2 linked regions of the Schizosaccharomyces pombe genome follow. Changing the gene in region 2 together with the main gene of any one other region gives a genetic interaction. Each region holds a gene or a part of one and is shown on either strand. Other genes may lie near its edges.

Evidence for each region.
Region 1: mutations in pus1 (region 2) and mca1 together harm fitness more than expected from each alone (negative genetic interaction), as found in Schizosaccharomyces pombe (one large-scale study listed by BioGRID).

What each region holds. Positions count from the first base shown.
Region 1 is NC_003424.3:2,984,232-2,990,655, forward strand, and holds mca1 (transcription factor), read right to left. Parts: upstream 4,623-6,424; 5' UTR 4,199-4,622; coding exon 2,105-4,198; 3' UTR 1,779-2,104; coding exon of another isoform or gene 555-1,778; 3' UTR 502-554; downstream 1-501. Other genes in the region: SPOM_SPAPB1A11.03 (L-lactate dehydrogenase (cytochrome)), read left to right, coding at 555-1,778; U2 snRNP-associated RNA-binding protein Sap49, read left to right, coding at 5,165-5,276, 5,334-6,229.
Region 2 is NC_003421.2:2,118,946-2,123,184, reverse strand, and holds pus1 (tRNA/U2 snRNA pseudouridine synthase Lsp1), read right to left. Parts: upstream 2,571-4,239; 5' UTR 2,521-2,570; coding exon 1,444-2,520; intron 1,379-1,443; coding exon 1,023-1,378; intron 984-1,022; coding exon 812-983; 3' UTR 555-811; downstream 1-554. Other genes in the region: SAGA complex deubiquitinating submodule subunit Sgf73, read left to right, coding at 1-434; Ku domain protein Pku70 , read left to right, coding at 3,767-3,799, 3,865-4,047, 4,119-4,215. UniProt on the Schizosaccharomyces pombe protein: Formation of pseudouridine at positions 27 and 28 in the anticodon stem and loop of transfer RNAs; at positions 34 and 36 of intron-containing precursor tRNA(Ile) and at position 35 in the intron-containing tRNA(Tyr).

The DNA of each region.
Region 1 (6,424 bases), on a different chromosome or scaffold from region 2:
GCTAGCCGTTTTGCCATCGTAGTATAAGAAAGGATGCTAAATGAACATGGACTTTGTAGCTGAGCGCAATACATCTAAATTCATTAGGAAAATAATTAATGAAAGGTTTCATGAAATCATCTCTGGTTGTTTCAAATTTGGACAAAAACGGGATTTCGCTTTTCCCAATGGGTACGGAAAGCGAATTCGTTTACAAATGTTTTAATATGAAACTTGAGATGTCATATTTACATAATTTCGAAAACCAAAAGTTATAAATGTAGCACTGAATTGCTGTAATAAAAAACAATATAAACTATTACTTTTAAATACCACTTTATCTGTTAAGAAATATTAAAAAAATACAACTTCGCCTTTATACACTCCTCGTCCCAAGTTGAAATTGTCGGTCCGATATTTTCACTCATTCATTGCAATATCAGAAGACTTTTGAACCTTAAAAGTTAAGAAACTCATCATTTTAATTTCTATTACTTTTTTACGACATTTTTGGATTCTTCCCTTTCTCGAAGACATTATCTAAGTAATCAATAAATTCTCAATACGATTTAACTATGTTCCGCAACTACAATTGGTTTGACGCAAAAGAGCCCATTTCATATGAGTCCGAAATTTACGCTAAAGGTCTCAAGTTTCAAAGACCCCAAATCACCGTAGATGGCAGACACTGGGAGCAACTGGCTGTTGAGCGAATGACCAAGGATGCCGCCGGCTACGTTTACGGATGTGCAGGAAAAAGAGAGACATATGATAAAAATATGGAATCCTTTAAGAAATGGTCCATCATTCCTAACCGTCTCATCAAGTCTGGTTTCCCCGACTTGTCTACCACTGTCTTTGGCCAAAAATATCCTTTTCCTATTGCCTTGGCTCCTGTAGGAGTACAAAAAATTTTCAATCCAGAGGGTGAAAGTGGATCGTGTGCCGCTGCAACTAGAGAGCATATACCCTATATTATCAGTACTGCGTCTGCAACCAGCTTTGAAGATATAGAAAAGGCTAGTGGTCCTGGAGAGAGATGGTATCAACTTTATTGGCCAAGCAATGACCATCAAGACATTACCATTAGTTTGCTCAACCGCGCCAAGAAAACGGGCTGCAGAGTTTTGATAGTTACTCTTGACACATTTATTCTTGGATGGCGTCCCTCAGACATGGACAATGGTTACGATCCATTCTTAAATCCTGACAGCATCGGTGTTGAACACGGATTTTCCGACCCCGTTTTCCGTAAGCAGTTTAAGGAGAAGCATGGTGTGGAAGTCGAAGAAAATATGTTAGAGGCAGCTAAAGAGTTTGCTGGAATTGTCTTTCCTGGAATCAGCCATGATTGGGAAGACTTGAAGTTCCTTCGTAAACATTGGGATGGCCCAATTGTTCTCAAAGGTATCATGAATGTTCCTGATGCTAAGAAGGCAGTTGAATATGGCATGCAGGGCATCGTTGTATCAAATCATGGCGGTAGACAACAAGATGGAGGTGTTGCTTCCTTGACGATGCTACCAAAGATCGTAGATGCTGTTGGTGATAAATTAGATGTTCTATTTGACTCTGGTGTTCGTTCAGGTGCTGACATTGCCAAGGCCCTTGCATTAGGAGCTAAGATGGTTTTAATCGGTCGTCCCTATGTTTACGGGTTAGCCCTTGAAGGTTCATCCGGTGTTAGTCATGTCATTCGTTGTCTCTTGGGAGATTTGGAATTAACGCTACATCTATCTGGTATTGTATCTGTGAAACCAAAGGACTTAAACCGTGATGTCTTATATAAGGAGGAATAAATTTATGCATTAGTTAATGATCAGCAAATTTAGTTTAATTCCCGTTATACCATTTAATATTTATTTACGCTATGAGTAATATAAAACTACCCATTAATAAGAATATGAGTAACTTATATTAATAAGCATAAAAAGCAATCAATAAGTGTTATGAGAAACTGACTCAAGTAACCAGTTCCATCAATATCATTAATTTCGAGTTCGTGAATAAAAGGAATTCCAGGGGTGTAGAAAAAGTAAAGCATTATAAGCTTTTTAAATTAGAGTGCTAGTATACAAAAGAATAAAGAAACAAAAACTAAAGAAACTATTGTACATCGTATAATTTACAATCGAATACTTCTTCCATTCATGTCTTCGAACACCGTTTCCTTAAAACCCGCCTTCCTTTCTGATCCAAACATTTCCTCCCACCAGCGACCGTCATCTAAAATCGAAGTGATCAGTGGGTCTACGGGGACTTCCTCATCCAGAATAGTATCAGTTCGTATTTCAGAAACACCCATAGCAGGTGTCGAATTCCCACTTTGAGTATCATCGCCATTATTCAAAAGCTCGTTTGTTCCTCTTGAAAACAACTCTTTTGAAAATGAATTCAGATCAGGATTAGACTTCATCGACTGATCTTCCACTATACCATATTCTAGAATACATAAAGGAAATCCTGGAATTTTGAAATTGTAAAGTGACTGTTCCTCTAAATACTGAAAGCGGTAGAAATTATACAATCTCTGAAGAGTTACCAACATTGCTTGATTAATTTTCCAATATTTGGATCGATCCTGTAAAATCTGATGATCAACGTGTACAAGTCGAGAGGAAGAAATGTAATTTTGGTCGATGTTGACAACACAAAACTTAAGAAGCATATGGATAGTAGCAGCAGTCAATATACTAAACCCCACAAATGGGCTCATTATGTAGTTTAAGGGGTCCTTTGAAAGTTTTGTAATGAAATCAGCAGAAGTAATGACTTGATCTAAAATCATATCCATCCATACAGTAGGAGGCTGTTGTCCGAAGCGTTGTGAAACAGAGGAAAAAAGTTTGGATTTCTGCCTCGACTTCTCAGGAAATAAATCTAAGACGTTTCTCAGAAGATAGGTCAAGGTAGTGTGATATAGCAAATGCATAAAAGTGTAACAGGCACCAGCCGATTCTCCGGGAGAACTATACGCCGAATAGTTAGTGTATGACCAAACTGCTCTTGGAGGTAAATTTTCATGCCAGGCTTTTAAAAGCTCAAAGCTACGATGGAATTGAGACTGATTTAGCCAAGGGGGTGTGATATCTTTCGTGTATCCACCACATAGAGCCCATCTTGAGATCTCACTCCACAAATTTGACAAGCGGATTAGGGAACCCGTCATAAACTCCAGTTGTAAACTTCTTTGGTATGGGGCCATTGAAGTGGTGTCTGACTGAGTGTTTTCCGGTAAAGATCCATCAAATAACTCAGTAAGAATTGGCTGATTAAATAAAAAATTAGGTTCCGGACAAGGTAATTGTATACTAGTCTTTTGAAGAGATAAAGAAAGTGAGCGCAATTTTGAAGGTGCCATGTAACCTGTACTTAGCAAACGTTCGACAAAAAAACAAGCCCAATAAACCCTTCTTTTCTGCTCGGCTTCAGTCCATGAAACAGTGTTGGATCCCATCGTAAGAGGATTATCATTTATTTCGTTACCAAGATCTAAAGAATCGACCATACGGAGAGCCATACCCAGTAAAAGCCAGGCTTTAGCGCCTCTACAAGAGCCCAACTCAATTAAGCAAAGCAAGAGCAGGCAAGTGATATTAGTCAGTGAAATATCCTGGAAACGACAAGGAAGCAGTGAAAAGGCTTGGTTTGCGTAGTAATCAGATGCTGCAGTTGAAGATTTAAATCTATTGACTTCCTCTTGACTGAAACGAGCAGCGTGAGCACATATACAAAGTACGAGGACTGGCGGAGCAGTATCACTTGCAATTTGAGACGTAATTTGGGCCTTATTAAATATCCCAAAAAGTTCGGTATATGAAGTTTTAAGAAATATGTCCCAAAGCTGTAATAACTTTCTACTGGTTGGTAGCCTTAACTGCTTCTGATAGTCACCAAAGCTATTAATAGAGTAAGTAAAATCCATGTTAGGAGATGATGGAGAGAGGATCGTAGGAGAAAAAGGATGAGAGCCCAGATACGGTTGCACTATACCAGTAAGAGGACTCAAGGTTCTGGCAGCGGAAGATGGCTTTTTGCCTCGCATATTCGGTCGATCAGGCCAAATGCATTCAACTTTGTTGTTACTGCAAGCTTGACATGATGGCTTTTCACCAGAACACTTTATTTTTTTCTGCCTACACCGAATGCATGCCTGAGATACTTGACTGATTACTCGCCTTTTTCGAGGCACAGCATCTTTTTCGACAGCAGCAATCATGTCGAAAATAAAATACTAAAATGAAGTAATAAAATATTCTGTGTCCTTTTAAACCGTTTAAAAACCTAGATAATCGAAGAAATCCTGCGTTGAGTAGACAGGTCTTAAAAAAGAAAAGAAAAGAAAAGCAGACGTGCCAATTGTCTGATCGTACGTCTGTTAGAAAAAGCTCACGAGCTTAAATCAGAAAAAATAAATAAGCAATAAACGTAAAGGCTACGAACAGTCCTTTCGAAAAGTTTGCAAGTAGAAAATTAAACATAAACAATAATAGACTTAAGTGAAAGAAAAAAGGGGCATCTAGGACTACACAAGTACGCTTTTTCAAAACACCAACATCACAGAAATATTTTGATTAAAAACACACTCGAAAAGCTATAAAATTCAACTGAAGTCGTGGTATCACCTGAAGGGTGAAGATCATAAGAAGGTTACAAAGACCACATGGGAGTAAAAAGCCCATCTAGGGTAACATAAATAAGCCCTCAGTTGTGTTCAAAACTACAGCAGCAAAAATAAATATACATGGCCAAACATCGTTTTTACAAAAAGTTAATAAATGAACCTATTAAATGTACTAGTGTACGATGGATGTAAGGAAATTAGGGCTGTATAAAGAGATAGGTTGCTATAAAAAATATTTCGTCAGTCTACCATTCACAACTGTACCTTCAACTTGAATATAATTCAATCTCATGAGTAAAATTATAAAATAATAAAAAAAAAACGAAGATTTAGTATTAAAAATCTCCATAAATGTGTTTGGAAAACGCTGGACACTGAAATTTTAACGATGAATACTGTAATTTAGTTTTCTATTGTGCTATTTGGTGCTCGTCATTAAGTCAATAACGAGACTATGCACCAATTTCTTGAATCTTCTACCAGCGTCTTCAAACGTGTCTATCTATTTATTCTAATAAATTTCTATAATAGACACTTTAACTTATTTTTACTTATTTATTAATGAGTATTCGAGAAGACAGGAATCAGGATGCAACTATATATCTTGGCAATCTTGATGAAAAAGTAACGGATTCTATTTTGTTTGAGTTATGCCTGCAGGCAGGTCCAGTTGGTATGTAATTATTCGAGTGTTGGTTGTATTTGTGGCTTTCGATACTAATTCATACAGTAAATATTCATATTCCAAGAGATAGAGTAAGGAATAGTCATAATGGCTTTGGTTTCTGCGAATTCTTACACGAACAAGATGTTGAGTATGCATGTCAAATTCTGAATCAAGTAAAGTTGTTTGGAAAGCCTATAAGGGTCAATAGAGCTAGCCAGGACAGAGGAGTCAATACCTTAATTGGTGCAAATTTATTTGTTGGCAACTTGGATCCTCTTGTTGATGAACGCGTATTGTACGATACATTTTCTGCTTTGGGACAACTTGTCAAGGCACCTCAGGTAGCAAGAGACGAGAATGGAAGGTCGAAAGGTTATGGTTTTGTTAGCTACGATTCTTTTGAAACCGCTGATGCAGCCATTGAGGCCATGAATAATCAGTTTTTAATGAATAAACCAATTACCGTGTCATACGCCTTTAAACGCGAAGGAAAGGGTGAACGTCACGGAGATATTGCGGAAAGAAAGCTAGCAGCAGCCGCTAAAAAGAATAAAGTTGCCGTTACTCCTCAGAGTACTCTGCCTCCAGGATTTTCACCCGCCACTCCTGCTCCAACATCTGCTGCTAATACTCCAGCAACAATTGCTGCTACATCGATACCTCCTGTACCGAATGTTCCTCTAGTGGGAGCAACTACTGCCGTCCCTCCCTTGTCAATACCTAATGTTCTTCCTTTCACTGCTGCACAGCATTTCCCTGGAATGCCTGCTATGCCAATGATGAATGTTCCAATGGGCCCTGGAGGTGCACCACTTGTCCCCCCTCCACCACCAGGAATGGTGATGGCTTCTCCTTCTCCTGCTGCTGCTACCATACCTGGTGCTCCTGTAATGCCAAACATACCATTTTATCAAACAATCAATGCACAAAATGGATACAGTCAACAACAAAGGAGGTAAAATATTTTAAAAAGAAGCAAAATAACTACCATTGTTGCTCAAACGCCGGCATAGTAAAATAGCTGAGATTGATCCGTATGGTTGATTTTTTTTTTAACGTGTACAGTAAAAAAAGTGGAAGCTGAGATTTATCTTATTTAAAAGAAATTAAAATTGATGTTTGTTTATATTTTACAGTTTGACTTTTTCTAGTAA
Region 2 (4,239 bases):
AGCAATGCGGTGTTTTGCTTCCTAATGGGCAAATGTGCGCCAGATCTCTCACATGTAAAACGCATTCAATGTCAAGCAAACGAGCCGTTCCGGGAAGATCTCAGCCATACGATGTTTTGCTTGCAGCTTGTCAAAAGAAAAACCAAGTAAAAATACAACGACAAATCCTCGAAACTGCAAAAGAATCCGAAGATAATCAGCATCAAGCGCCTGTTGATTCTGATGAAGAAGTCAGTTTCATTATGAATGTTCTCCAGAAATCTGGCAATCAGCCTTTGGAGCAAAAAGTTTTTTTACCCGTAAAACGTCGCCATTCGTATTTTCGTACTAGAGAGTTAATAGCTGCTGCATTTCGACATGGTGAGCAGGGTATGCAAGTTACTGGTACTATATTGGGACGAGTGATTCCTTTTAGTGCCCGCCAACCACTATAAAGAAATTCTTTTGATTTTGCTTCGGTTGATGATTTAAATTCTTTATGAGATTATAGTTTACATTTTGGTCTACTTGACCACGCATTTTCGACTTTTTAATTTTCTCCTCCGTTCATCTAGTTTCTATTTCATTAATTTTTTCATTTTTTATTTTGTATATTGCACCATACGGTCTTAACATTTGGAATAATCAAGTAGAAGTTAATAAACTATAAAAATACCAATAGAACCCAAAACCAATAATCAATTCTAAAAAAAAGAAAGAAACAAGTATTCTCCAAAAATATATGTACACGTTTGTAGTCTAATTTTTTAAAAGAAACAGCAAAGTTTATGGTATCAGTTTGTTGCAAATCCTCAGTCTCACAATCAATCCTTTAGCCCTCTAAATCATCCTTGTTTTCAGCCGAATCTTCTTCTTCATCGCTAGAAAGAACATCAGGCAATTTTGAGGAAACCTCTTGCGTCTTTTCAGTAATGCCTATATCTGATAAATAACTGAAATCTTCTTCATTATAACTGTCAATAAAAGACAAAAAACAATGAAATCTAAACCGGTTAGTTAATTTAAGAAAAAAATATACTTACACTTGTTTACGAGCTTCTTCGAGAAAAATTTTATCATAAATATGAGCATGCTTAAAAGCAGTAATTTTTTGCTCGTACTTTGTAAAGTCGATAGGATCACGATTATTCTCTGGAGCTTTATGTTCATTATAACCTTTAAAAAACGGTGACTCTAATAAAAGTCCAAAACCAGGTCCCTTGGGTATGTTAATTTTTGTTTTTTTAAAGGCATCTTGTATGCGCTCAACAGGACAACCCGTTCGTACAACTAAAATAGCAAGCGCAATCATCTTTCTAATTTGGTGCAACATAAAAGATTGACCATGAACTTTACATGAAATCCATTCTGTATCGCCAATCATGAATGGATCAGATGCCTAGAATGTTAGAAACAAGACTTGTCAAGAATACTATAAATACAAAGAAGATAATTCTTACTTACAGTAAAAGAACGGATCACGCGATTACTATTCTTCTGATGAAATGCTTGCCCCACAGTAAAATTGTGAAAGTTATGAACTCCAACATATTGGTTTAAAGTTTCTCGAATAACGGACAGCCTATCTGCGGAAATACGGTAATTTTTTAATTTAAGTACTTCAATGTGCTTAAGTGCACGTTCGAGACGATAACTGGGATCAATCTTGGAACCAGCAGATTCGTCTTCAACAGAGTCAGGCTTTAAAAACTCGTTTACAATAGCAGAGGAATCGGAATCCATATCTGGATTAGTTTTAGCGGAAACTCCTGCTTCAGAGCCCTTATTATTTTCCGAATTAGCAAGAGCAGCAGCTCCCCTTTTAGAATATGGATTTACGAAGCCTTCAGGATCCTGTTCATAAAGGCTCAAAATCTCTTTGGCTGCAATATCATAATCATCCCAAAATTCCTTTCCTTCTTCATAAAATAATGAACGACTGAGTTGATTTATATTTTCCTTGTTAATTGGCTCAGCAGGCATGGGAGAATTCTTCATAATGCAATTTCCAAGTATGGACGAAGGTTTCGGTGGAACAAAAGCATACGTTGGAACCATATATTCATATATACGAGATTCGCAATAAGTCCTTGGGTTAAAAGAATTAATAGTACGGATCACATCCCATAAGCGAATGGAAGGAGGGAGGTGTTCGTTCACTTTTTCAATTAACTTCTCATCTTCCATTATAAGTTTGAGACTGATAACATTTCCAGCGGCATGAACTCCTTTATCAGTTCTTGCGGCTCTTGCTAAAGCAACTTTCTTTGGGTCATCAGCGTTATAAGAAGAAACGGCACCAGCCTTCACAAAAGCATCAAAAAGATCTCCTTCGATTGTTTTACTAGGAGGATTCAATTGCATACCATGATATCCGCTACCACAATAACCTACAAGACAGGCGACCTTTCTTTTCGGCTTTTTTTCTCCAACTACCAAATTCTCTGGCCGACCTTCTCCATTGTATATAGAATTAGGTCGGTTCCTTTTCGCTTCTCGACGATCACCATTGTACCAAGTGCGTTTACCACCACGTCCCATGCTGTAGTTAATATTATTTGTTTTTGATGAAAACGCAATTTACGCTGCACAGGTAAAAATTCATTTAAACATAGTAGAGTATATTTTCTTAATAATGAAATGCAAGGAATCGTTATTCATTCAATAAGATAAGAGTATAATTACACGATGGTTCACTAAACAATTATAAAACAATATACTTCGCTTACCTTAAGTTAAAAGTTTTAAGAATTAAAAAGCTAAATATTGTATCGCATTTCGAGCAAAAACAGATTGATGAAGCATTCAAACCAAAAAAAAATAATCAGCCTGAAAAAGGAATGACTTAAGACTGACTATTAATTGTTGCTTATTCTCTGTCTCTGTGTTTTATCTTTTGTTACCAGTTGTCGAAGTAAAGGCCAAATTGAAACCCGTGACTAATCCTTCCAATAACTAAGAAAAGTATACCTATTATCAATTTTATATCAAAAATCTAGTCCTTTTCATCGTTCATAAACCTCATTTTTTATTTTTTTCTTCCACACGTTACGAACAAAACCGCAAATTGTCAGCAATACTACACTAAGCTATGATATATTACGTTGCGTTTCACTATATGTCACATGTTCTAATTATATATCGTACCATGTATGATACGATATTGATATTGATCTTAATTAAAATCTATTAATATGTATATTATCTGAATACTATAAATAGAGCTACTGCTGAACCTCGTTCCTCAGTTCAGTTATGAGCTATATTAGTGATAGGTAACATTATAACCCAGTTAATACAATACCTATACTCAGTTGCTACTTATACAACCTGTGTATTGTAATATAATAGATCACAAGGAAAACTCACCGCAGTTCTACGTATCTTTAAATCAGATACCAAACTGCGTAGCCGACACAAATGAACTATAACGAACTAATATTAGTTGCAACTTACGACGGCTTTACTTGAGCTCTTTAAATTTAACGTATTCGCAACAATCACAGTGCGTGTAAAACACCCACTAGAATGTTGACACCATTGTGCATTTTATTATTTTTCTCAAATATTGGAATTGGTGCTTAATAACTCATATTGGTATATCAATATATTAAATTATTTGACATTTAAGATACTAATGAAATAGTTATTTCATTCGTGTGCTTTAGCCGTTATCATCGGACGGTTTACATAAAATATCAGCGTTTTTATAATTACGCGTGCTTCTTTTTTCTTTTTGTCGTATTTAAAAAGCCAAGGAAATTGTTTTTGATAATCTGTTTTTTACATGGAAAACGATGAACAAATAGATGAGACAGAAGTATGACCAATATGGACTGGTAGACGCAGGTGTTTTGAAATTATTATGCTGACGATTGTTTAAAGAATTTTGCAATTGGAAAATATGCCATTTTATTTGTGATTGAAGTTTCTCCCAGTATGCTTGATCCTGTCGATGAATTTACTCCCAGCTCTTTGCAGATGGCACTTATTTGTGCGTACCAGCTGGCGGCTCAAAGAGTAATCACAAATCCCAGCGACATAATGGGTGTATTGCTCTATGGTACTGTAAGTTTAATGCTGCATTTAAATTCACCGACGTTTACTTCTGCCATTAAATGTCTCTAACCACAGCGCAGGAGTCCTCTACGGGCCGATTCGCAAATCAAATGATGCTTTTAGACATTGATCCTCCTGATGCTGAACGTATTAAAAGCTTACAAAGCTTTGAAAAAGGTAAAAGCTTTTAACCGATTACTT